Linked DNA regions of Nothobranchius furzeri. The protein of the gene in region 5 purifies or fractionates together with the protein of the main gene of each other region. This does not show direct contact. Links are inferred from orthologs where the notes say so. Each region holds a gene or a part of one and is shown on either strand. Other genes may lie near its edges. The genes, in order: wdr5, runx1, skia, rb1, hdac3, ccnd1 and atxn3.

Evidence for each region.
Region 1: the proteins of hdac3 (region 5) and wdr5 purify together in Homo sapiens (affinity purification with western blotting; 3 studies listed by BioGRID). This does not show direct contact. The link is inferred for Nothobranchius furzeri from reciprocal best matches to the Homo sapiens genes HDAC3 and WDR5.
Region 2: the proteins of hdac3 (region 5) and runx1 purify together in Homo sapiens (affinity purification with western blotting; 3 studies listed by BioGRID). This does not show direct contact. The link is inferred for Nothobranchius furzeri from reciprocal best matches to the Homo sapiens genes HDAC3 and RUNX1.
Region 3: the proteins of hdac3 (region 5) and skia purify together in Homo sapiens (affinity purification with western blotting; 4 studies listed by BioGRID and IntAct, with this or other methods). This does not show direct contact. The link is inferred for Nothobranchius furzeri from reciprocal best matches to the Homo sapiens genes HDAC3 and SKI.
Region 4: the proteins of hdac3 (region 5) and rb1 purify together in Homo sapiens (affinity purification with western blotting; 3 studies listed by BioGRID). This does not show direct contact. The link is inferred for Nothobranchius furzeri from reciprocal best matches to the Homo sapiens genes HDAC3 and RB1.
Region 6: the proteins of hdac3 (region 5) and ccnd1 purify together in Homo sapiens (affinity purification with western blotting; 5 studies listed by BioGRID and IntAct, with this or other methods). This does not show direct contact. The link is inferred for Nothobranchius furzeri from reciprocal best matches to the Homo sapiens genes HDAC3 and CCND1.
Region 7: the proteins of hdac3 (region 5) and atxn3 purify together in Homo sapiens (affinity purification with western blotting; 3 studies listed by BioGRID). This does not show direct contact. The link is inferred for Nothobranchius furzeri from reciprocal best matches to the Homo sapiens genes HDAC3 and ATXN3.

Annotation. Positions count from the first base shown.
Region 1 is NC_091746.1:41,695,278-41,699,545, reverse strand, and holds the start of wdr5 (WD repeat-containing protein 5), read right to left. Parts: upstream 2,801-4,268; 5' UTR 2,614-2,800; intron 1,807-2,613; 5' UTR 1,781-1,806; coding exon 1,703-1,780; intron 1,517-1,702; coding exon 1,408-1,516; intron 1,002-1,407; coding exon 928-1,001; intron 377-927; coding exon 287-376; intron 1-286.
Region 2 is NC_091743.1:80,920,869-80,923,652, reverse strand, and holds the end of runx1 (runt-related transcription factor 1), read left to right. Parts: intron 1-829; coding exon 830-976; intron 977-1,087; coding exon 1,088-1,635; 3' UTR 1,636-2,284; downstream 2,285-2,784.
Region 3 is NC_091755.1:44,987,622-44,991,553, forward strand, and holds the start of skia (v-ski avian sarcoma viral oncogene homolog a), read left to right. Parts: upstream 1-1,132; 5' UTR 1,133-1,510; coding exon 1,511-2,416; intron 2,417-3,932. UniProt on the Homo sapiens protein: May play a role in terminal differentiation of skeletal muscle cells but not in the determination of cells to the myogenic lineage. Functions as a repressor of TGF-beta signaling.
Region 4 is NC_091750.1:48,278,848-48,282,347, reverse strand, and holds part of rb1 (retinoblastoma-associated protein), read left to right. Parts: intron 1-679; coding exon 680-790; intron 791-911; coding exon 912-1,048; intron 1,049-1,137; coding exon 1,138-1,215; intron 1,216-1,689; coding exon 1,690-1,799; intron 1,800-1,902; coding exon 1,903-1,980; intron 1,981-2,327; coding exon 2,328-2,415; intron 2,416-2,513; coding exon 2,514-2,630; intron 2,631-2,710; coding exon 2,711-2,767; intron 2,768-2,853; coding exon 2,854-2,885; intron 2,886-2,989; coding exon 2,990-3,066; intron 3,067-3,165; coding exon 3,166-3,386; intron 3,387-3,500. UniProt on the Homo sapiens protein: Tumor suppressor that is a key regulator of the G1/S transition of the cell cycle. The hypophosphorylated form binds transcription regulators of the E2F family, preventing transcription of E2F-responsive genes.
Region 5 is NC_091741.1:31,121,785-31,125,284, forward strand, and holds part of hdac3 (histone deacetylase 3), read left to right. Parts: coding exon of another isoform or gene 1-42; intron 43-2,731; coding exon 2,732-2,814; intron 2,815-2,909; coding exon 2,910-3,052; intron 3,053-3,200; coding exon 3,201-3,282; intron 3,283-3,500. UniProt on the Homo sapiens protein: Histone deacetylase that catalyzes the deacetylation of lysine residues on the N-terminal part of the core histones (H2A, H2B, H3 and H4), and some other non-histone substrates.
Region 6 is NC_091749.1:21,584,115-21,587,614, reverse strand, and holds part of ccnd1 (G1/S-specific cyclin-D1), read right to left. Parts: intron 2,332-3,500; coding exon 2,183-2,331; intron 2,104-2,182; coding exon 1,948-2,103; 3' UTR 1-1,947. UniProt on the Homo sapiens protein: Regulatory component of the cyclin D1-CDK4 (DC) complex that phosphorylates and inhibits members of the retinoblastoma (RB) protein family including RB1 and regulates the cell-cycle during G(1)/S transition.
Region 7 is NC_091758.1:31,656,002-31,659,954, reverse strand, and holds atxn3 (ataxin-3), read left to right. Parts: upstream 1-1,195; 5' UTR 1,196-1,285; coding exon 1,286-1,309; intron 1,310-1,688; coding exon 1,689-1,853; intron 1,854-1,942; coding exon 1,943-1,987; intron 1,988-2,068; coding exon 2,069-2,154; intron 2,155-2,235; coding exon 2,236-2,302; intron 2,303-2,383; coding exon 2,384-2,471; intron 2,472-2,547; coding exon 2,548-2,677; intron 2,678-2,749; coding exon 2,750-2,913; intron 2,914-3,016; coding exon 3,017-3,173; intron 3,174-3,249; coding exon 3,250-3,311; intron 3,312-3,386; coding exon 3,387-3,439; 3' UTR 3,440-3,453; downstream 3,454-3,953. Other genes in the region: E3 ubiquitin-protein ligase UBR1, read right to left, coding at 1,109-1,153. UniProt on the Homo sapiens protein: Deubiquitinating enzyme involved in protein homeostasis maintenance, transcription, cytoskeleton regulation, myogenesis and degradation of misfolded chaperone substrates.

The DNA.
Region 1 (4,268 bases), on a different chromosome or scaffold from region 5:
ACGGTTAGCTTCTACCAGCCGAGATGTTCTATGCTGTTTTCTGGACGCTAAACCAACAATAGCCGTCCTCGTCATGAGCCAAGATGGGTGAGCCCATGAATGTTTAGTGACAGTGTAACGTGGATCTGTCAGGATTTTCTAACCCTAGACTTTCACCATCTATTTTCTAGCTAATCCAGAAGATAGGAGACTTTTGTCATGTTCAGCCTGCATGAAAAACCTCAGAGTAACTAAAATAATCATTAAAAAAGGTTTTTCAATGAACCACACCTTAAAACATTCTTACCGAGTTAACGTCCCAGATCTTCAGAGTTTTGTCATCCGACGCAGAAACAAGAAGGTTGGAGTCAGATGACCAGGCCACATCAGATATTCCCTGGAAAATAAAGAAATTCTAAGATCTCAAGGCTTCAAGGACATAAAATGATACAAGAGTAAACAATGGAGTCATTTCTCATGTTTATCTTCTAAAAATGTAAATACAATCTTGTTCTTGCTTTGAACGACCAAACAGATCAGACTCAAAGTTTTTATTATTCACTGCATGTGAATACCCTCTGCTGCTGCATGGCACTCAAATGGTGTGTTTGGAATAACAGAAGAAAAAAAGAACAGATATAAATATATAAACAGAAGTACATGTTTACTAGATATGTAGCAGCAGTAAATGTATTCACTTTATATTAGACTTATTGCACTGGTGACTGAGGTTTTTGCTCTAATGCGCATGAGAGGGTTTTAGTACATTTAGTTTACTGCTGTGGGGAAGGGGATTGTTTGCACCAACTGGACGGCAAGAGTCCAAAACAGTAATGACCAGGGTGGGAGGAGTCTTTGATGTTTTAGTAAAAGCGGTGAAACTCTACCTAATACAGTCCTGCAGGCAGAAACACAACAGTGCCACAGGTAAGGGTCCCTTCTACTCACAAGTTTGTGTCCAGAAATGGTTTTCTCAAACTTGCCATCATAAGCGCCCCAGATTTTGATGAGTTTATCAGCAGCTGTAACACAAACAATGAAAAAGACATCATGAAAAAGAGAAAAAAAATGACTGAAAAGTTGCAAAATGGTAAAAAATATATAATTTCCCCATTTCAATCATTTCAGCTGATCAGATATTCAAATGAAACGAGTGTACCCAAAGATAAATACTAAAACCAATAAAAATTTCACAATTGCATAAGAATATTTAGTCACTAAAGCACTGCTATTATTGTTATTTACATTTAACTTAGAGCACAAAATACACTTCATCTATGCAGTACAAGTGTTTTATCAAACTTTAAAAAAAGCTCTGGATCAAACATAGTTTCACAAAACCCAATACATTTTATTATGGAATGAAAGAAGATTTATGTTGAGGTAGCTGAGATTTAAACAAGATATGATTCAAAATGAGATGCTTACACGAGCTGGCGAGCCATTCTCCACTTGGACTGAATTTAACCGAGGACACAGCCTTAGTGTGTCCCGCTAGTGTGAATTTCAAACTGTAGTTTGGTTTTGCAGGTGCAGTCTGCAAAAGAAAACCAGTTCTAATTTAGCAAATGAATAAACATGATGAAATACTTTCAATAAAGAAAGAAAAAATCCGAAATAATGCTGGAATATTGACAGTCCTTAACAAAAACTTAGAATTAAACTATCATAAGAGGACAGGGTGGGAGATTACAGGCAATGCCAAAACTTGGGTTTGTCAGACCTTGCTTTGGCTAGCAGAGGCTGATGGGACAACTGGAGGCTTGGTGTCAGTCTCTGGTTTCTTGTCCTCTGTTGCCATGGTGAGGAAATCAGCATCTATTGCACCTGAGACAAAAGAAGAAACCATAAAAAAAGTTAATAAATCAGGCAAGTTAAACCTAAAGATTAAACAACTGGGATAAGTTATTGGGTGGAAATTTTACAATTTCTAACACCCGGAATTTTAAAGTTTGGAGAAATAAGATAAACCCTCCAGCTCGATGACTGCTAATAACCACCATTAAGGTAAACGTGATTAAAAACTATTGTTTTATCTGTTAGCATTAGCTTCCTTTACTGTGATCTAAAATAAACAGTGGGGTTTACTTTAAATAAGATAAATTAAGTATATATCATGTAAATTTTACTTTAATTAGGCTTATTAATAGGCTGTGATGCTCAAAAGTATTTAAATGCCCGTTTAGGGTCCGTTTAGCTATAAAATTAGCTAATGCAGCTAGCTGAAGTTAGCTAACGTTAAATTGCTCTTACTATGAAAACCGATTGAGGCCAACCCCCTTGTCCGGTTACCGTTTACCATCTTGTGTTGCCTTCAAATGCATTGACACCAGCTCGTTTTTGCTTCGAATTATTATTTATGCGAAAAATAAAAGCAAACAAAGGGAGAACGAGTACGTTCGCTGTAAAGTTCAACACCTGAATATACTTGGGTTACCTTCGAACAAAACAACGTGAAGATCTATAGATTAGAGGCTGTCTCGCGGAATAAAATGTATTTTGGCATGAACGCCACAGTTATATGAAGAAGCTAATCGCAGTTTTGACATGCAGTTGATGCTGTTGACAAGTTATGCAGCCACGAAGGGGGCCTCCATTGAAACAATGAAGATTCGGTTTTACACCGATACTTACGTTGATCAATTTAGATCTACAGTCAGACTGGTACTCCTTGCAAATCCTGGAAATCTAAAACAGTCCGTATAATAACTAAAGAGAGATAGAACAAAGAACAAATCAAGCTATTTGCTTGAGGATGTTTGCCTGGTAAAGGAACGAGCTGCGAGGTGAAGCGGGGAATGTGCTTACAGTTTGCGCAGGCGCATGACGTTCAAAAGTGACGGGAACTAATGAGGGACAATTATGAAAAAATCGTTTCGACTGCCGTTTGAAAAGAGCCCAATAGTTTTAATTAATCTTATTTATTACAAGTTTGTATTTTTTAAATTTAAAATGACAAAAATTCTCAACAGAGAATTTGTAGAAGTACATTATGTGAAATACTTCATCTAAATTTCAATGAAAGGCAGTAGCCATTTAAAAACCAGGCTGTGGCTGTCAGAGTCAATCAATATGCAAAAAGGAAAAGTCTACATGAAACAGAAACAAACACACAGCAAACAAAAATCTAAATAAAACAAACAAATTACATATCTTTAATACGTCGTAACCTTATTTTATGCTTTATGTAGTTATGAACTACTGACTGTGATATTTTCATAGTAAATCACTTGCATTTATTTATATAACCCTAACCATTTACTTTTTAGCTCAATACTTTCCACAATTATAAATATGATTTTGTGAAATGCAGATTTCACACTTTTACCATAAATCAGCTGTGAACGCGCTTTGGATTCTCCGGCTCAACAGATGGCGCTATGAGCACCAGACCTGTCCCTTCAGCCGTGGCTGCAATAGGTCGGGGAAGAAGTTTCTAGTTCTTTTTGAACACACTGCACTCTGGTGTTCACTAGTTTGTTTTGGCTTCGGTGAGCTTTCTTCCAAGCCGTGCAGCGTCAAGCTCCCATGTCAACACGCCCTCTTAAATGAGTTGGTAAACACTTCTGTTGTTATTTTCTTATTTTTACTCATTACTTAGCGGTTAGCCTCCTCCATAACAACAATAGGTGTTTAAAGAAGCGGACTTCTTCGCTTCGTTATATGATAATTTAATTCAAGCTTATTTATTGGCGCTACATTTTGCCCCAAATTAAAGCAAACGTTACTTAACCAAAACCTGTAGTTGGTATTTCGAAACTTATATCAACAGTCGGTGTCACAAAGTGTGTTGTCATCCGCTGCAGTGTCCCTTACCAAACCAGCTAGCTAACTTTATGCTAACGAACATCGTGCATACTTGTGTTTTTATTTCACGATAAGTATTTGAAACGTTTTAAAGCCAATCATGTCGCTTTGTCCAAACCTACATTTTAATACATTTTGAGTAAAACCATCTCGCTTATTTAGTCATTTAGTCTCATTCGTACATTACGCCACGTTTTTCACTGTAAACGAAAAGTATTTGACGATATCTTCTGCGTCACCGCTTATGAAAAGCTTTTACAAGTTATTTCGGGAATCTGAAATCATGTTGACAAATGTCTTCTAACTTTAAACTGAGCTTTGTCTCGTGTTCTGTTCTTGTGGCTAACGTGCACGTTGTCACGTCCGCCAGATTTTTTTTCTATAAATATTTTGAACGTGCACGTTGGTTACGAGTCTCCTGGCTTGAAGAAGGCAAAATTTAGAGAGGTCTCTGATTCAACACAGCTGACTGTAATCAGCAG
Region 2 (2,784 bases), on a different chromosome or scaffold from region 5:
CCAAAAACTTCAGAATTAACCTGTGAATCAGAACTTACTTTTTTAATAATTGACAATGTGACGTGTGTGCAAGAAGTTTAAAAGAATAGAAATCAAGGAAAATATTAAAGCTGCTGCCAGTGGCTCATTAAGGTAACGGTAAATTCACTCCACACTCTTAACATCTAACAAGTTTAGGGAGAGAGAGGGTTAAAAGCTTTATAAGTATAAAAAAAAAAGAATCAAAATTTTATTTTGACGCGCACAACACTGGGTTTATGTTTACATCTACCAGCCACTAGGTGGCACTGCTACGGTAAAAGGTCTGCTTGGCAAGGCAAGGCCTGGGCTGTGTAAAATGGCGGACTCGTTAAGTCAAGCAGCTGATTCTGAACCCAGAAGATGTTTTAAAGGTAAACTCTGTTGTAAAATAAACATATTATTAGAAATGAGTCCTTACCCTGCACTATTCGTCACTGGACATGGTGCTGGCTGGTCACTTCACATGTCAGCAGTGAACCAACACCCAGACGGTTTGTTGCACTACCACCTCTAAACACTAGATGTCACTATAGTGTCCGTGTTCCATATTCAACCTTTAAGTCGTGATTTTTGCTATTCATTGCTCCCTCACTTTTATAAATCTTGGGAGAATTTCTTGATTGTTGTCTTACATTTTAAAGCTTGTTATGACCAGTTTTTATCAGTTAGGTCAAATTGCCAGCGCTAAATCTTATTTTCGTTCTATAAACCCCGAGAAGCCAGGCCTGGACTACTGCAGTGACTCGGAGAAGTCCACAAAAGAAAGCTGTTAAATGAACAGCCTATTCTCTGCTTTTGTATCCCCCAGATTCCAGGCAGATGCAGTCATCTCCATCTTGGTCCTATGACCAGTCCTATCCATACCTCGGCCAGTTAACCACGCCCACTGTTCACACAGCCAATCCACTTTCACCTGGCCGCTCCTCACTCAGTGACCTGTCGTCAAGACTCACAGGTAACAACCTCCCGACACACACACACACACACACACACACACACACACACACACACACACACACACAAGATAATTGAGTAATGGTTGTCCCTGACCTTTGCCCTTTCTCAGGTCCTGACCTTACAGCTTTCAGTGACCCCAGGATGACTTTGGAGCGATCTTTTACCTCACTTCCCTCTTTGCCCGACTCCCGTTTCTCCGATCCTCGGGTGCACTACCCCCCTACGGCAGCGGCTTTCTCCTACACCCCATCCCATAATCCTGTGTCTAATGGTGCCCTTGGCATCACCATGGCAACAGCCATGGCAACCACTCCTACAGGGCGGTACCACACATACTTGCCTCCTCCCTACCCAGCAAACACCCCTCACCAAGCTCAGAATGGGCCCTTCCAGTCCACCTCGTCACCGTATCACCTGTACTACTCCACCGCAGCCGGTTCATACCAGTTCTCCATGATGGCCGGAGGAGGCAGCAGCAGCGAATCTCGTACACCACCACGAATCCTGCCTCCATGCAGTAATGCCTCTACAGGCTCCCCCTTTCTGCACCCGTCTCTGCCCAATCAGAATGAAGGGGTGAGTGTAGAGGTGGAATCCAGCCACAGCAGCTCCCCAACAAACATGGCTGCCGCTGAAGCTGTATGGAGACCCTACTGAAGCCTCTGAGGTGGCAGTAGACCATCTGGACATGTAATGGCAGATACTGGAATGGGTGGATGAAAATAAAACCATTATTGGAGACTTCATAACAACTTAAGACCCCCAAGTGAACGGAGAACAACTGAATACCAACAGCATCATTTTCATGTCCACTCATATTACTTTTTTGGGATTACTCTTGGAATAAATGACAAACAAACAAAAATAGTTTTGAGTTTAGCCATTAAAGAAGCACAAATTCAAGAAAAATGACCAAAAAAGTTAAAGACTGGTACAAACTATTTGGAACTCGTCCATTTTGACTTTTGTACAATGGAATCCATTGTTTTCCTCGAACACTGATTTGTTTTGGCAGCTCTCTCACTCTTTTCTGTACTAAAGATATGTTTTAGAGGGGACATTTCTAATTTACTGTTACTGGAACATTATTTTAAGAGTTTTTCCTATAGCATTCGTTTAGCTCAACAGGGAAAATCGCTTTCATTCTGGGATAAACTAATTCTGAATTGGTTTTCCAAGATATAGAAATGAGACTGTGAATGCAAATGTTCTACTGTGTGTGTTTATTGTAGTGACATCAGCCAGACTGAGCTGTTTCGATTCATGTTTTGGAGAATAAAGAGCTCCGTGTCACAAATGAATAAAAGTCTGTGTCTGATGTTTCTGACAATTAGTTTTATAGATGATTCACTATCGAGATCAAATTTGTAGAAAAGTACTTTTATATCAACAATTCCAATTCATAAAATGGAATATATAATACATAGACTCATCACACAAGGAGCCGTTTAATTCAGCTTTTCACTGGTTTAAATTTTAATTATGGCTCTGTGATAATTAGACTCATGAAACAGTTCAGTGTTGTAAAGTCGTGTTTTCCCAGACTGGTCCAGTGGGAAAGATGTAACCAGAACCAGCGCTACGACTGATGCAGCTCACTCCTGAAATCAGGGATGGCATCAGAAGTGTCTCACCAGGTCTTTGATCACCTTTTCTCTCAGAACTCAGAGACAACAGTCAGAATAATATATTTGTTTTCAGGTTGTAACATAACTTTGTTTCTATGATTAGGTTTGGACTGATGTTTTTTTTTTTTTGTTACTATGATGTGTTATTTGTAGGAAATGATGGCTTTTTGTGTCATTA
Region 3 (3,932 bases), on a different chromosome or scaffold from region 5:
TACTCTGCAGTTATTAGCACACTTGTGCACCATGCAGCCTTACAGCACACTTCCTCCACGTGCACTCTGCTGAAGAGCACAGGGCGAGTACTGGGACTGGGCCTCGGCCTGTGTTTGTAAAAAATGTCATAAATGGTATAATGTGGGAATTTGTGGAAGCGTAATGGCTTCTGTACTTAAATAACACAAACTCCTGATATTTAAACAGTTTTAGACATGTTACACTTTAGCAGCACGCGGGTTAGCCTTTAGCTTAGCCTGTCCACAGAGCTAGCTGGTGAACTGATTTCTAAAAAGTCAGAAACACATTTAAAAAAACTAGATTAAAAAAACCATCATTAGATCTGTGAATGCAGCATTAGTGTTCCCCTGGCACTTGTACGCTGTGTGCGTGTGCGCGCGTGCGTGTCTGTGGGGGTGTGCGTGTGTGTGTGTCTGCGGCATGTGCGCCCCCCCTAGAAAAGTTGCTGCGGTTTGAATATTCAGTCAAACCACATATTGATCTTTATTCTAGACATAATTGTAAAACAAAATAAAAATTATACAATTAATGAGTAAATAAATAATCAGAATAAAAAAGAAATTCATGTTTCCGCTGCTCAACATTATAAAAAGTTTTTACCTCTGTAGGTGTTGTTTTTGTGAACACAGCAACAGGTGAATGAACCTAAAACAATAAATTTTAAATACATTTTGAATAACTGAAAAGTATTTTTCTGAAATGTTTGTAAAACTGAAGTTAAATGTTTTGGAGACGTAGAGCTTTTTAATAAAAATGAATAAAAGTGTAACACGTCGCCACCGGCTGAACTCTCCCAGAGTTTCCACTAACACCAGTTTGGTTTGCCACCCCAAAACTTTTTGGGCCATCTGGCCCCCCTATCTAAATTTTCTGGAGGCGCCCCTGGGTGTGTGCGCGTGGGGTGCGCGCGTGTGCGCGCGCGCGTGTTTCGCTGGAGGGGGTGACGGCTTGTTCCTGGAAGAGCCCGGTCGGCCTGCCCGCAGAGTCACTCACATTCCTGGCCGGGATTCAATGACTGAGCTAGACACACAAACACAGGGGGAGGGAGGGGGGAGGGCGCGAGGCAGAGGGGAGGAGGCAGCGCGCGCCAGCAGCATCTCCAGTCAGAGGGAAGTGCGGGGGCAGGCGGACCTGATCTCTGCGGTCCTCGACAGCAGAACCAACCTGAATTCGGGATCTGTGCTCGCGCGGGTTTGCCTCTCGTGTCCCGCTTCTGGAAGTTTCCACCGGAACTTTGCGCCCTGTGGAGTTCGGACTCCTGTCGGACATGGACGGGCTGCGACCCTCTGGCCGGTGTGCGCTCCGTAGGGCTGGCGCGGAGAGGACTGGTGTCTAGAGCGCTGCGCTCGGATTCATGTTGGATGAAGCTTCAGCAGCTCCACGCAGCTCTGGGACACCGCGGATTTACCAGCTCGAGAAACGGATCGACCCTCGCGACTCCCGGCCAGCCAGAAGAAGGATTTTCGCTTCCAAAGTTGTAGGAAAAACATGGAGACTGTAAGTCGGCAGAGCTTCCAGCCTCATCCGGGACTGCAGCAAACTCTGAAGCAGTTCCACCTCAGCTCCATGAGCTCTCTGGGCGGACCGGCGGCGTTCTCGGCCCGGTGGCAACATGAGCTCCTCTTCAAGAAGGACGGGAAGGAGCCCGAACCGGTCCTGCAGCATCTGCCGCAGCCCGTGATGCCCGGTCCGCTCTTCATCCCGTCGGACCGCTCCACGGAGAGGTGTGAGACGGTCCTGGAGGCGGAGACCATCTCCTGCTTCGTGGTCGGCGGGGAGAAGCGGCTGTGCCTGCCGCAGATCCTCAACACGGTGCTGCGGGACTTCACCCTGCAGCAGATCAACTCCGTGTGCGACGAGCTGCACATCTACTGCTCCCGATGCACGGCGGACCAGCTGGAGATCCTCAAAGTCATGGGGATCCTGCCCTTCTCGGCGCCGTCCTGCGGCCTCATCACCAAGACGGACGCCGAGCGGCTGTGCAACGCCCTGATCTACGGAGGCGCCTACCCGCCGCGCTGCAAGAAGGAGCTAGGCTCCGGGTCCTTGGAGCTGCAGCTCACCGACAGGAGCTTCAAGGTCTACCACGAGTGCTTCGGCAAGTGCAAGGGCTTGCTGGTGCCGGAGCTGTACTCCAGCCCCAACGCAGCCTGCATCCAGTGCATGGACTGCAGACTCATGTACCCGACCCACAAGTTCGTGGTGCACAGCCACAAGGCGCAGGAGAACCGGACGTGCCACTGGGGCTTCGACTCTGCCAACTGGAGGGCGTACATCCTCCTGGGTCAGGATTACACAGGGAAAGAGGAGAAGGTCCGCCTGGAGCAGCTCCTGGACGACATCAAGGAGAAGTTCGACTTCACCAACAAGTACAAGAGGAAAGCTTCATCCAGGGTGAGTCCGACCTCCTCATCTGGTTCTGGAGGAGGAGAACCCTTTTCTGTGTGGGTCCTGGTTAGCTCTGACTCAGTTAACCAGTGTGTGTGTGTGTGTGTGTGAGCCCGCATCATCACCCCAACCCCTCCATCACCATATTGCTGCTAATTGAGTCTCATCCAGCCTCTGGTGGCTATAAAGCCATTATTTACCCTCTGGTGTCGTTTTATTGGCTTGTACAGTAAATACAAGTGTGTGTGTGTGTGTGTGTGTGTGTGTGTGTGTGTGTGTGTGTGTGTGTGTGTGTGTGTGTGTGTGTGTGTGTGTGTGTGTGTGGTGTGATAAAGGTCCCCGTGGCCGTCTCCAGTCTGACTTCCTGTGCGGTTTAAGCTTTTTCTGCGTTTTTAGACCCGACGTTTTTGCACCAACGTGTTTGAACGCGGCTGCTTGGCGTGTTCCTGGTTCGGCCGCTGAGACGTAAAACTTCCAACACTTGAATCCTTCATTTTTCCTGGCAGACTGGCTGTTGTGTGTGTGTTTGGAGCCGTGGAGGTGTGAGGAGGAGTTTCTGGAGCCAGGCCCACCCCTCACAGCAAAAGCCCATTTGCATGAACTGTTACACATCGGTGGAGCGGATGAAGCGGGGTTTAGGAGTATTGTGGTGGAAACATAATATGATCCCAACAAAAGGGTCATTCAGCTAACACGGGACCACCCACCACCCCCACCGGTCCCTTCCTCCCGTCTGACCATCGGATTGAAACCGCAGCTCTTTCCTGGAGGCAGCCCTGTTGGTGGAGCTCAGAAAGCAACAGCAAACTGTTTACAAGCACTCCTCCTCCTCTCAGGCTGCTTTCAGAGGAATCTCGGGAAGAAAGGGAAAATCGGGACAACCTCTTGTAATCCAGACCAATGCCAAAGTCCTGCGTGAATGCCCACCGCTGGCACACACTTCCATTCAGGCGGGAGTGGGCACACCCAAAGGACCTCTGCTTTCAGGGGCCTCCTCCGGCTGGGAGGAAAACTCGATCCCGGGTTTTAACTCCTCTCCTCTTTTTTCCGAGGCACTCTAATGAGGAGATGCTTTCTGGGTGGTAGCCGAACCCTTTGTCAGCACTTTTCTGGAGGAGCTTGTTGGACGGCTCAGAAATAGACGGCGTCTTCGAGTGTCTCTGAATCTTAACGAGGCTGCTGCAGAAGTGTGAGCAGCAGTCTCGTACGCAGACAGACAGGAAGTGAGATTGCTTCACTTCCCTCCCTGCAGACGCTCTTTTGAAAGTATGAGACGTGCTCATGTCTGACTTCCAGAGCAAATGTCACCGTTTCTGCAGCTGCTCCTGTTGTGTGAGTTAGCTCCTGCTCCCGATGCAGGAGGATGCAGCTCCTGCTCCCGATGCAGGAGGATGCAGCTCCTGCTCCCGATGCAGGAGGATGCAGCTCCTGCTCCCGATGCAGGAGGATGCAGCTCCTGCTCCCGATGCAGGAGGATGCAGCTCCTGCTCCCGATGCAGGAGGATGCAGCTCCTGCTCCCGA
Region 4 (3,500 bases), on a different chromosome or scaffold from region 5:
GTGGATCTCATGCATATACACAAGCCGGCTGTTGCAGCGCCCCACCAATGACATGGCGACCGTAGATCAAGGCAGATCAAGGAAGTGCAATTTCACAGAAGCAGAAATTGATGTACCTGTGGGTGAAGTGGAGAAATGAAAGGAAGTGCTTTTGCAAAACAAATAGGAAAAAAATCCACGGAGTGGCACAGCGTTGCTGAAGCCGTCAATGTTGTGAATTCTTCAGAGAGATCTGTGGCGCATATAAAAAAAAATGGTCCAATTGGGATTCGATCCCCAATCTCCCGGGTGAAAGTCCTTCTCAGCAGCAGCACTGCAGGTGCTCTCCGTGTCCAACATGTGCGTAAGCCAGGTCCTTAGTCAACTTAAAGTTGCGCACATTTTTCCGCTAAGTTTTCTTTCATAAATCCCAAAGTTTGCGTGGAAAGTTGCTTACGCAGTTTTCTGACCCCGTTTTGTGCGTAAGCAAGCTTGAGAAATGAGGCCTCTGGTTTTGAAAACCATCTAAAGGTACCCGGCCCTGCTCTTAATAGAAACGTTGCTCCTTATTGTTTTTTCTGTGAGGCCAGCTGTAGGAATCGGGTTAATTAGAAAGTATTTCTCAGGTTTACAGCTGTCGTTTCTACCTGGAACCTGTGTTTATGTTGTGATTCTCATGCTTTCCTCTCTGCCTTTGCAGGAAGGACGTTGCAGATGGAGGATGATCTGGTCATATCGTTCCAGTTGCTGCTTTGCACCCTGGAGCTGTTTATCAAGCGCTGCTCTCCAGACCTTCTGCAGCCTCTTTACCGTAAACCAGAGCTTTGTTTTATGCATTTTGGTATTTTTATAATCAAACTAATAAGGGTGAAGGAAATTTTTTATTGAAAAATGTTGGTCAGCGATTAACAATATACAATGTCTCCTCTCAGAATCTTCCATTAACAAAGTGCCAACACGAGCGTCTCGTCGGAGCCAGAACAAAGCCAAATCCAGGCCTGCAGAGCTGGAGCTTGATGTTCAGCTTCTTGAAACTTTGTGCAAAGAGAACGAATGCAGTTTAGAAGAGGTTTGAAGTCCTCTGGTTTTCTTTTACCTTTTACAGAAGTTTCTTTTTCGACTGCTTGTGCCCTAATCTTCTCTCCCTACCAACTACAGGTGAAGAATGTTTACCAGACCAGCTTCTTGGCATTTCTAGAGTCCCTGGATCTGTCTAGATCTCCAGATTTTCCTCAGGTAGGCAGCTGCTATCAGACAACATGTTCTCTAGCTTGGGTTTTACCGCATCTCTTATTTCCACCAGTTATCTCTCCTCCAGCTTTTCAGTGTTTAACAGACAGGGGCTGTTCGGTGTTCTGCTTGTGTGTGCTCTCTCACACACACGCATGCACGCACACACACAAACACACACGCACACAGAGATATCTTTTGCAGTATCTCAGGGTCTTTATTGGCAGAGGCTGGTGTAAAAATTCATGTTACTGTGACGTTACCCCGGTAACAGACTGATGGTAAACGTTTTAGACAGAGTTTACACATATTTGTACATTAACACAAATACTTCTAAATAAAATTATTGACATGACTCTTAATAGCTGGTCTGGTTTTATGTTGTTTAAATAGTGCAGTTGTGCTCGAGTGTACCCTAACCCATAAACATAATTGTAACTTAGTTTAGTCTTTTAGCTGCCTTATTTTTTTTCCTGCCAGGTTTCTGACTTCAACCAGCAGTATGAGGAGCACTACCTCAAGTCCAGAGACATCGATGGACGGCTGTTTTTGGATGGAGATGAGACTCTTGTTGCTCCTAAAGTTGAGATGTAAAATCTTTTTCTTACTGTTCATTTTTTCGTTTGCTGCACATTCAAAAATAAACAAGGGAAATGCTAAATAAAATGAAGAAAAACGGTTTTCTGCATTCAGATCACAAGTAGAGAGAACACCAAAGAAGAGCCAGCCAGATGAAGACGAGATTCTGATCCCTCCGGAGACTCCCGTCAGGTGAGCGTTCAGCTGTTGCTCCAGAGGAAAGAAAAAACTTGGATGAAAAATGATTATTTCACACTTTGAGATAAAACAATGTCCCCCTCTTTTTTTTTTTTTTTTTTATAAATCTAGCCCAGTTTGAAATCAGCACTTGAGCCTGTTTTATTAGTGAGGGTTTTTAAACGTCCTTAAACAGAGTAACATAAAATATCAGTTTACAGTAATCTTTAATATGTTTGCAGTTTTTATCAACCTCTTAACTAAAGTTATCCAGGAATATTCAGTGTTTTGTGGTAGCTTTCCAGATAAAAGGGTTTTTCCTCAGGAGTTTGGTGTCATCCCTGTTTCTGTCTCCGTCTCAGAGCTGCCATGACATCCATCCGGATGCTGAGAGGAGACCTCCCCTCCAGTGGAGACCAGCCTTCTACTAACCTGGCTACATATTTCAAAGTGGGTCTCTTGAAGCATTTGTACTAATTCAACAGTCCTGTTCACTCGTAGCTTGATTAGTTTAAGGTTTTGTTTCTCGTCTTCTCTCCTGTCATCAGAACTGCTCTGTGGACCCGACACAGGATGTGCAGAAGCGTTTGGAGACGCTTGGACAGATGTTCAGCCAGAAGTTTGGTGAGGCTGTTGGGCCACGCGGTGTTGTGTACGGTCGGCAGGTACGAGCCACCACGGAGGTTTTGTGCACCCTGTCCTCCCACTGTGGCAGCTTCTTAACAAATTCTCCTTAACCCCTTAGAGATTTGCTCTCGGTGTACGACTTTATTACAAAGTCATGGAGGCCATGCTGAAATCGGTGCGGGAACCTTTTTTTATTTAGCTCATTTTCTACATTGGTTTGCATGCAAACACTGACATTTAAGATTTTCTTTTTCTTTACAGGAAGAGAAGCGGCTTTCTGTTCAAAATTTCAGGTGATAATTTGTTTACTAATTTTTCTGTGTGTAAAATAACGTGTGTGCTTCGTTTGTGTTTGGAAAACTACGCCTACTATATTATAACGAGCTTCCTTTTCTAGTAAACTCCTCAACGACTCCACGTTTCACACATCCCTGCTGGCTTGTGCTTTGGAGGTCGTCATGGCAACATATGAAGGTGCTTCCAGTGATGCTTGTCTACGTGTAGTTTCCTAAAGCACTTGTTGTACGTCACAGCTAAAGGTCTGCGTGTCTTGGTAATATTATTTTTGATCAGAAAGCAGTTTTAAAAATGGAAGGTACAACGTTGGAGGAGGGGACCAGGCTGGAACAGACGTGTGTTTCCCCTGGATACTGAACGTGTTCAACCTGCCTGCCTTTGACTTCTACAAGGTCATCGAGAGCTTCATCAAAGCGGAACCCACGCTCAGCAAAGATATCATCAAACATCTGGAGACCTGTGAGAACCTCATCATGGAGAGGATTGCATGGAGAACGGTCAGTATTACATCACGTTGTTGTTAGTGCTGTCCCCTCAGTATTGGACACATACGCAGATGAATTATATTTGTAAATGATAGCAACAAATATTTATATGGTTGAAATTATAAA
Region 5 (3,500 bases):
CATCTTATTTTTATGACCCGGACGTGGGAAACTTTCATTATGGTGAGATTGATCCTCATAGTAAATCAATCCGTAGAGGCGTTAGCTAGTTAGCCAGTTACATGCTAATAGTTCACACAAAAAAAAATGCTTTTTTAAAAATATTTTATACTTTCCTGTGATGCAATTTATGGGTGCTTTTGCAAATATAATGGTGCTTTTAAAAATAATATTCTCTGCAGCTTTCATACTTTAAAATTGACGTTAATTTTCCTGTATTCCTGTCAGATTAATATGTTTAGGCTCAACCGGAAGGTGCTATTGTTTCTTACACCAGAACAAATATTCCTGAACTATTTTAATTACGTAGTTCAAAAATAAAACTAAGTAACAGGTCAGCACTTGGATAATGCCTTTTCGTGAGTCTTCTTTACCGTTAGTTGGGATCAGTAGTGCAGTTTTGATTCAGGTTAGATTATTAACTAAATTATAAAGTTAAAGCGCCATTAGTCATCATCTTCACTTTAGATCTATTCAAGGGTCAACGGTTCAGAAAGTAAGGGTCTAAAGTCAAGCTTATACCAGGTAGGAAGAGCACCGCATGGAAGTGAATGATGCTTTTGCATGTTAGGTTTATTCCAAGAGAAAATGTATTTATTTTTTGTTATTACTGATCATTGTTTATATTTGTATCTAAAGTTCTAGTTCAGAAGTGCAGTTTAATTGTTCAGCCGTGGTTATACTTGGTTTAAAGTTTTATGGAGAAATAAATGCCAGAAGTAATGTTTGCATTAGTGATCTTAGTGATCTTCTGCAGGGTCAGCATCTTGTAGGTTTTAGATTCCATCCATCCATTTTCTGAACCCGCTTTGTCCACGCAGGGTCGCGTGGGGGGGGGGGGGGGGGGGGGGGGGGTCAACGGGCAATCAGCCGGGGTACACCCTGGACAGAGAGCCAGTCCATCGCAGGGCAACACAGAGACATACAGGACAAACAATCATGCACACACACACACACACACACACACACACACACCTAGGGGCAATTTAGACAGACCAATCAACTTAACAGTCATGTTTTTGGACTGTGGGAGGAAGCCGGAGAACCCGGAGAGAACCCACGCATGCACAGGGAGAACACGCAAACTCCATGCAGAAAGATCCCAGGCCGGGAAGCGAACCCTTCTCGCTACAAGGCAACAGCTCTAACCACTGTGCAGCCGGTTTTAGATTCCATTATACCTTATAAATTGACACAGTTATTGTGCACAGTAGTTCACAGAGAAGACATGTATGTTTATAATCACAACTATTGTTTCTGCATGAGTACTGTGAACTAATTTTGAGACTATCACCCATCCCTATTGGGAACTGGTCTGGAGTTATATATAACAGGTGAGCGCAGTGGAGGACGAAATTTTGTCCTATTTTCATAAACGTGTGTGTGTGTGTAAGAATGTGAGTGAATAACTGTTTAGTTGTAAAGTTTCTTGAGGGGTTGTAGAACTCTAGAAAATGCTTTATAAATGCCGGCCATTTTTACCATTAGGGCTGGGCAATAAATAAAAAATGTATCGTTATAGAAATGTCGGACTCTTATTGTGATCATTTTTCCCATGTCAGGAAATTTGATAATAAAAAAATTTAAGGATGTGTGTAGGTTCAGGTTGGCAACATTATATATACATATATATATATATATATGAAAGGGCTGGGCGATATGGCCTGAAATTAATATCACGATATATTGAGGATTGATAACAATAAATGGATGATAGCTACAGGTAGGCGCAGAAACAAAAGTTGTCCACTAGATGGGGCTGTCACATGTTACGTTGTGTCACATTTCTGCGTGACTCAAGGTGGTACAGCTTCCTAACCCTCTGGAGGCAGGCGTTGCAGATTTGCAACGTTAAAACCTACCAACCTGGTTACTCCACATACATATTTTATGAGCATTTTTTAAATCAGAAGTACCCATGAAGGACTTAGTAGTTCGTCCTTTTATCAAAACTTACTTTGAGCCTGAGAGGGTGAAAGGGACACTAACGTTGCCAACCTACACACATCTTTTAATTTTTGATTTTCAAATGTATTGACATGGGAAAAATGATCACAATAAGAGAAATTTCGATAAATTTTTTATTTATTGCCCAGTCCTAATATACACACACATATGTGTATATATATATATATATATATGTATATGTGTGTGTATATAAATATATATATATATATATACACACACATATATATGTATATGTGTGTGTATATAAATATATATATATATATACACACACATATGTGTATATATATATATGTATATGTGTGTGTATATAAATATATATATATATATATATATACACACATATACATATATATGTATATGTGTGTGTATATAAATATATATATATATATACACACACATATACATATATATATATATGTGTGTGTGTGTGTGTGTGTGTGTGTGCGTGTATATACTTATATACATACAAAACAGCATTTATAAGTTCTGACAAATTGAAAAACAAATACAACACATCTGGCAGAAGAGAATAATTCATCTTACGTAGAACCTCGAACTGTTCACCAGATCCTCATCAGAAACAATCTCAGCTCATAACACAGTTACAGTTTCATCCTAAGGTTTTGCCTGTTTTACTACACGTTGTTCTGTTCTGAAATTATGCAAAATTGTTTAGATCGGCTTAAAAAAAACAAAAAACAAAGTTGAACCATGTCTCCTTTAGGTGCCGGTCACCCCATGAAACCTCACCGTCTGTCGCTCACTCACAGCTTGGTGTTGCACTATGGACTCTACAAGAAAATGATGGTGAGCAGCAAATGGTGATTCAGAGTCTAATGGTGCTCTTCACCACGTAGAAGTGATAAAATGATACCTTACTGAAGATTTTGGTACCTGATTAGGTTTTCAAGCCCTACAAAGCTTCTCAGCACGACATGTGTCGGTTCCATTCTGAAGAATACATCGACTTCCTGCAAAAGGTCAGCCCCAACAACATGCAGGGCTTCACGAAGAGTCTCAACGCATTCAACGTGGGAGATGACTGGCAAGTGCTGCTGACTTTTATCGTGCAGATACACTCAAATGATTGTTTGAATCATGCTCAAGTGTTTTCAGCTGTCTTCTCAGTTTAGTTATGCTTTAAAATCTCACACCCTTGATAAGTCTGAATTTTTTTATTTTTTGCATTTCAGTCCCGTGTTTCCGGGTTTGTTTGAGTTCTGTTCAAGATACACGGGAGCATCTTTACAGGGAGCAACACAGCTTAACCATAAGGTAATGTATACGAACACACAGATATCCTGAATGAGCAATTTATCGACTAGTTCCAAAGTGCTTATTTATTTGTTGCCTTAGTTAATTTGTAGGTCCACCTTTTGCCTTTCCCTGTGAGAAAGTCTGACCAGATGCAGGTGTGTGTCAGATAATCATATCGTCAGAATTGATGTCTTGAGTCTCATATTTTTAGTTAACACTGACTGATCAAATGCTAC
Region 6 (3,500 bases), on a different chromosome or scaffold from region 5:
AGAATTATACAGTGGCATTTATAACAAATAAATGCAAATAAATTGATGTTCACAAAATGTTGCATAACATTTATTTAGTCATGTCAAGGTGCTGTAGGAGAGTGCACTAGCACCGTGTCCTCAGGGAGATTAGTTATTAGTTATCAGCGTGAGGAACTTATTTCTACCTTATTTATAAACTATTTATTTACAGGTCCATCAGTTAATGTAATAATTGTCTCAACCACAGCTGCACCCCCCAACCCGGTCTCACAGGGGGCAAGCTGCACGTCTGTTTAGCATGCCGCACGCGCACATTTAGCTGTTTTTAGCTGCTCAGAAGTCCACAGGTGCGGTGTGTGTGTCACTCACTCTGGTTAATCCAACAGGGAGCCGGCTCTGAGAGCTGTTTCTTTAGCGACTGACACGTCACTGCATCATTCCCTTTCCTAATGTCCTGAAGAACGGTCCGGAGCGCAGGCGGAGTGTTTAGCTAACCTGCAGGAAATGTCAACGACAGTTATCCAGAAAGAAGCTAAGGGTTACCAGAGATGTTTCTGAGGTGTTCGCTAGGTACTTTTAGGATTTAAAAAGTCAAGAAGGGGGTCTGAAAAGCTGCTAGAAATAGCGTCAAAGTCGCCAAGTTGGCAACACTGTGGGAGGAGCGCTTCATTTGCAACTCAGGGCAGCGCAAGTGGGAGGAGCAAATAATCGGCTTGTTTTGTTTTTATAATCGTTCAAAACTCAGATCGTAATCGTGATTAAAATTTGATTAATTGAGCAGCCCTATTACACACAACAGCTGATCACCTACACAAGACAACAGATGAGGATGTCAATAACAATTTTCTATGAGAAAATTCAAGCCTACAATTGCAGTTTATAGACACGCATACTCCCAAAACAAAATAATCAGATCAGATAGCAGCAAACAGGAAAAAGCGTCGTTTCAATTCTTTTGTCTGCTTTATTTTGTTTCCTTTGACAGAAGCTGTCGTTTCGTTTCTATAGCAGCAGAAAACCCGGAGTGCCTCACTCCTTCCTGTACACCCTCTACCCGCAGCTCCCGCTCACCCCCCTCAGGAGCCCTGACAGCACCGGGACCCCCCACCAGGGAGGGGGGGTGTCGTGAACCTGGACTGGTTCCTATGGAACACGCCCACATGTTCATGTTTGTGCAAAGTCTCGTCTCATCTCTCCTCGAGTCAGCTTTATCGGTTTCCCAGAACCCACCAGCTTGTCTAAAGGGACACCAGGTTCTGGCAGAGCAGGGTGGGGGGGTGGTCCTGATCAGGATCTGGACTGAGGGGCTTCTCTGGAGGAACCTGGAGAGGCTTTAGTTGCTCAGCTGAAACTCGGACGGCTCCGTCGCTCGGAGGCCGTCTGGTTGGCAGTTGTGTGTTGGGAATGTTCTGGATGCATTTAGCTGAGTCAGCGTTGCTGACCAAAGTGCTTTTTTGAGTCGGACCAGCATCAGAGGGTTTAAGCAGCTCATGGCCCCTCTGGCTGGGAACAGAAGACCTACCAGACTAAAGTCTAAATAAAGTGACTAAACACGAGCAAGCCGGAGACGGGACAAAGACGTGGACAGACTAAATCACTTTAGATAGAAAAGACAACATAGTATCTGCTTGAGGATGAGGACCTTCAGGTGCGCTGACTTAAAGATTCCAAGTTTAACATGTGAGGGAAGAGCCCAGCCCTTGCAGGTCATCATGTCCTCCCCAGGACGTCCCTGTAGTCTCAGCTGCAGTCCCCTGGAGGGAAGGAACGCTGTGGTGTGTCCGATCTGATCTGGCAGCAGGCTAGCAGGAGACATTCTTGACCTTCAGCCCACTAGGAAGTTGGAGAAGGATTGAGGAGGGGTATAGGGTGAGACCAAGCAAGTCCCCCTACCCCCATCAGCACCCTCCCACAACTACTTCCTCTTGATCGTCGAGTTCACTGTAGGACAGATGTCCACCATTCTCAGATGTTGATGTCTCTCACGTCTGTGGGCGTGGAGGACGGGTCCACCTCCTCCTCCACATGTTTGTTTTCCGTTGTGCCGCTGTGCTGCTGAGCCTGTCGCAGGCTGGACTCCAGCAGGGACTCGATCTGCTCCTGACACGACCGCAAGCAGTCCTGCAAACAGAGGGTCAGCATCGGGTCAACGTCCTCACGCCAGCCACAACAACCGTCACGTCAACGAATTCAAACGTACCGGGTCGCTGCGGATGACCTGGGACAAGAAGTTGGTGAGGTTCTGAGAGGACAGGGCGGCATCCTGGTTCTTCAGGTAGAGGCCCTGAACGGCTGCCACCACGCTGCCGGCTGCCACCATCGACGGAGGGCTGGCTATGAAGTTCACGTCTGCAGGAGAGCAGAATACAAAGTAAAAGGGCTGTCGCTCAGGCTGAAGACCACATCTGTTTTGTTTCTGTCAGGATGAGCTGAGGTGTGTGTAACGACTCACACCCCACACCTGGTTGGTGTTTAATTAGCACCGAACGCAATAACCAATCTGTGCAATCAGAACAGGGAGCAGAGTAGTGGTGTGTGTGTGTGTGTCAGGGTTCCCACGCGTCCTGGAAAACCTGGAAAATGATAGTCCAATTTTCCAGTCATGGAAAACACATGGAAAATGGGTGGAATTGCAAAATGTCCTGGAAATTTTTGAGTTGTCCTGGAAAAAAATTTTCCCTCCTTGTGGATAAACAAACAGATTAAACATTTTGGGCAATATTGGGCTGTAGCGCTTCTCCTTTAATTTCTGCATCTAGCTGGCACAGCGCCCCACATGACGCTTCCAACCAATCAGATTGCATATTCCCCTTCAGTTGCAGTTCCACTTCTGTTTTTCCAACTGTCTTTTTGGCTAGATTTACAGATTTTTCACCCCTAGATTTATTTCTCTAAAGAAGGGCCAAAAGTAGCGACTCGGTTCACGAGTATTGCTTTATCGCATTTTATGGAGCGAGAGGTTTTTCTCCTTCTCTCTGTTTAATGACAAAGGAGCAGCGGAGAGCTTTTGTTTTTTTCACTCATGCGTTGAGACGAGCGAACATGACGAGAGCTTCGGGATAGCGACGGATAGCAGGTAGTCTACCGGACCCGCGCTCCACTCAGTAATTCATACTAGTTCTATCATCCAACAGCAGAAACAAAAATATGTGAATGATAGAAATGTCATGAATTTGATTCTATCAAAAATACTAAGTATGTGCTCAGAGGACAGAGCCTCAGCTGTTCATACTGTTTTTAGCTAGCTACACAGACCGCAGCCAGGAGGCAGTGAGAACTGAAGACTGGCATTGTCATTTGAACAAAGTTGTTAACGTAATTAAATTGAATTCAACACGGCTAAATTAATAACTAGAATGATTTTAAGTGGTGACTATATATTTATCATAGTAATGCTACGTAAAGTCCAGACTAAAATGGTAGCGAACAACTACAAGTACTTATCTCTGAGGTAGAAAAAAAAATATTTTTCAGGTCCAATATGTCTGTGGTGGTAGCGGGAGATATTAGCCTAGCCA
Region 7 (3,953 bases), on a different chromosome or scaffold from region 5:
TGGGTCCAGTGTGGAAACACAAGTATGGACACTATCGCCAACAATAATCAGGTACGGGCCCAGACCATTACATCACCACCAGCAGCCTGAACCGTTAAGATGGATCCATGTTTTCAAGTTGTTAACATCAAAGTCTAACCTAACATTTATGAATGTTGCAGCTGAAGTTGAGATGCAACCTTTTGCTAATATCATGATGAAAACTGCAACACTCAGACCAGCCTGCCTGGCACCAGCACAAAACCACATTCATTACCACTGAAATCCCCTTTCTTCCCCAGATAATCAGACAAAACTTCATCATGTCCACATGTCTAAATGCTACCACCTGATTGGCTGTTTGTGTTAATAAGCATCTGAACTGGTTTACCTGCTAAACAAACTGGTGAGTGTATGGTACATCCACGCCAGGAGTCTGTTTAGGTTCACTTACATAAATATGCATCATCAGAACAAATATGTTTTTGTGTACCAACTGAACACCTTGAAAATAATACAATGGATTGGATGAAGCAAGTAAAATTATACAAAAATTATATTTCGGTTTTGAAAATAAAACTGAAATAATTTATTTTATACGAAACTAAAACAAAAACCACATTAGACGGATTTCTCAATAATAAAACACAAAGGCTGTAACTACATTAGGACGTTTAAAAATGCGTGATTATGTTGGTGTTTGGGAGGCGAAAATATCTGAACAGGTAAACCTAAATATGAATAACAACACAGTAACAGTAGACTAGTTTACTTTCACTGTAAATAAACGGAAAAGGCATTCAGGACCTCAGGCTAAGCATTTTAAATGTCATGTGTAAGCACAGAGGGGAAAGACAAACACTTACATCATTTCTCATGGAAAAAGACTAAATTTATCCCGAAAAGAAGTAAAAATAAAGTCGGTTTATCCGTAATAAACAGCGTGATGCCTCTCTAATGCTAGTTAGCCTTGGCGGCTACGACTATTATTAGCCTGGCAAGAACAACCTTCTACCATAATGCAGTAAAACCTTATTACACATGATTTTTTTTTTATTTTAAACTCCGTCGTTTTGCCACAAACTCTCAGAAAGCGCTGTCAACGGAATTAGCTGAGAGAACATCATACCTGACTCAGCTCCAGCCTGTTCATGGAATTCTCACTGTCCGCCATATTCCATTTGCCGTAAGTAGAGGCGTCCAGCACTGTGCCGCGCGCACGCCCGCCCGCTAGGGGGCGTCTCCTCTCGATAGGGCGAGTGAGGGGCGGGGGTTAGAGAGTTGAACGTTTGACAGAAAGCTGAATATGGACTCCATATTTCATGAGAAAGTAGGTTTAAACATTTTATAACACGAATTTACCTGATTATATTTACTGATTTTTGATTAAGCGGTGTCGGTGCTCGATCTGCTGAATAGTTTTACCAGTTAAGTAGCCGCTATCGAGGCGTTTGTGATGGAGTTGTTGTACAAACTGCTAATACGCTAATTCACTTGCTAGTCAGAGAATGTGAAAAGTTAGATTTTTAACATGATAACTATTCCTGGCGTCATGTAGGGGTTTTGTTTTCTTGTTAGTTAATCGCTCTCTGCTTGGCTGGGTCCTCGTTGGGCTAGCTGCTACATGTGTTTGTTTTGGTTGAGCATCTTTATTCCAGAAGTCCAGCTGATGCTGGATGCTTGTTACATTCCTGATCCTTTGTTTGCAGCAAGAGGGCTCCCTCTGTGCCCAGCACTGCCTCAACAACCTTCTGCAGGGCGAGTATTTCACTCCTGTGGACCTGTCCTCTATCGCTCATCAGCTTGATGAAGAGGAGAGGATGAGGATGGCAGAGGGGGGAATGGCTAGTGAGGAGTACAGGACCTTTTTACAGGTGTTATGAGACAGAGGGTACATATTGGTACAAAATGTTATCAAAAATGTAATTTTATTCATGTTTTTCTTTCGAAAATGTGTTTAAAGCAACCCTCTGGGAACATGGATGATAGTGGGTTCTTTTCAATACAAGTGAGTTTACAATTATCTTTTTATTGCTTCTAAAATCCATGTCCTCTTCTGTAATATCACTCTTGTTTCAATATTTTCAAGGTGATTAGCAATGCTCTTCGAGTCTGGGGCTTGGAGCTACTCCTCTTTAATAGTCGAGAGTACCAGAGCCTAATGATAAACCCAGTGTAAGGTTTTAATGTGGAAACATTATGATAGAAGATCCTGATCTCTCATTTCTTTAAGCTGATGCTTACTTTGTGTTTCAGAAATGAGAAAGCCTTCATTTGCAATTATAAGGAGCACTGGTTTACTATACGCAAACTTGGACAACAGGTGTGTGGCACTCACTCACTTACCTAGTCATACTTGTCTTATAGCAGCTTGATTCACTAAAATTCTCTGTTTCCTTTGCAGTGGTTTAACCTGAATTCACTGTTGACAGGACCAGAGTTGATATCAGACACATATTTAGCACTTTTCCTTGCACAGCTACAACAAGAAGGTAGCATCAGAAACTGTACATTTAGAGGTTGAACTGGAGAAAAGATGATTAAATTAGTTCTTTTTTTTTTTTGCAGGGTATTCCATATTTGTGATCCGAGGGAATCTCCCTGAGTGTGAGGCAGAGCAGATTCTTGGGATCATGAGGGTCCATCAGCAGCAGCGGCCAAGGCTCATCGGAGAGGAGGAAGCGCAGACGAGTGCGGGGTGTGTGTCATTTTGTTCACAAGGGTTCTGGTTTGTTTAACTCGTCTGATTCGTGCGTTTTGCTGTAAGCAGAAGGTCGGCTGCTCTGAGCCAGACAGAGGTGGTTTTTGGTGTTGAGGATGAGTCTGTGGGTGAAGATGAAGAACTGAAGAGAGCTCTGGCGCTCAGTAGACAGGACATGGATGTGGAAGATGAAGATGCTGATCTACGCAGAGCCATACAGCTCAGCATGCAAGGTCAATTGTGTGCCATGTGAAGGTTTTAAAACTGTTTGAAACTTGTATTAAACTTCTAAACATTAGTTTGTAAAATTAACTATTTGCATTTGTCTTTCTGCAGGAGCAGTGATGAGCAACAGGATGTCAGACAGTGAAGGGGAGGGTGTAAAATCTGGAGGGCAGGCAGCAGAGAGCACTACAGGAGAACAAAAAGAAGGCCAAAACGAGACGCTTACAGCCGAAGAGCTGAGGAAGAGGAGACGAGCCTACTTCGATCGGTAAGATCTACAACGACTGTTTAAATCCCTAAACGAGCTCTGCCCACTTAGAAAACAGATGTTTCTGTGTTTATAGGCAGCAACAAGCTCAGCCAAGCATTCCTCAACAAGCAGACAAACATTCAGCGGCTGATCCAGGTGATTAAATCTAACTTAGTTCAGAAGTCATGTGACTTGATGACTCGTTTAACCTGTGGCTCTTATTTCCACCAGGATCAGTAAACACTGGCTCTGAGGAGGACCAACAACAAGCTCCCATCCAATAAAGTGGTGAAAGTTTTGTCCGTGTTGTTTACCTGCAGCCTGGATTCAACTCCCCTCTCAGGGGTGGCTTTGCTCCTTCTTCTAACCTTTTGCAAATGCAAACATAAGGGCAGTCAGAAGGCTGACACGTGGTTACTCCCCCGCCCCCTTCCCGCCTCGTTAGTCACTGACTGAGGAAGAGAAGAACGACAAAGAAAAGGCAGCACTTTCTCATCTGAATCTTTTAGAAAGCACGGCCACTGGACCGGAGAAGACTCACGATGCAGTTTAATCCAAGTTTGCAATTTGCCTTTTTACCATGGCGCCTTCTATTTCTATCGTACAGTTTTATATCCTGGTTTTGTGTTTCTTTTCTTAAACACGTGGAAGTTATGTCCTTACTTGCTGAGAGGTAAAACGAAAAGGCGTTCAACAGAAGCAATATGAGACCAACGTTTAGATTAAAGCTTTACGGAAAACAACAAAGCCTCCTGATTTTGTAGCGGTTTTTCGTGCAACACACAAGTAATTAAAACA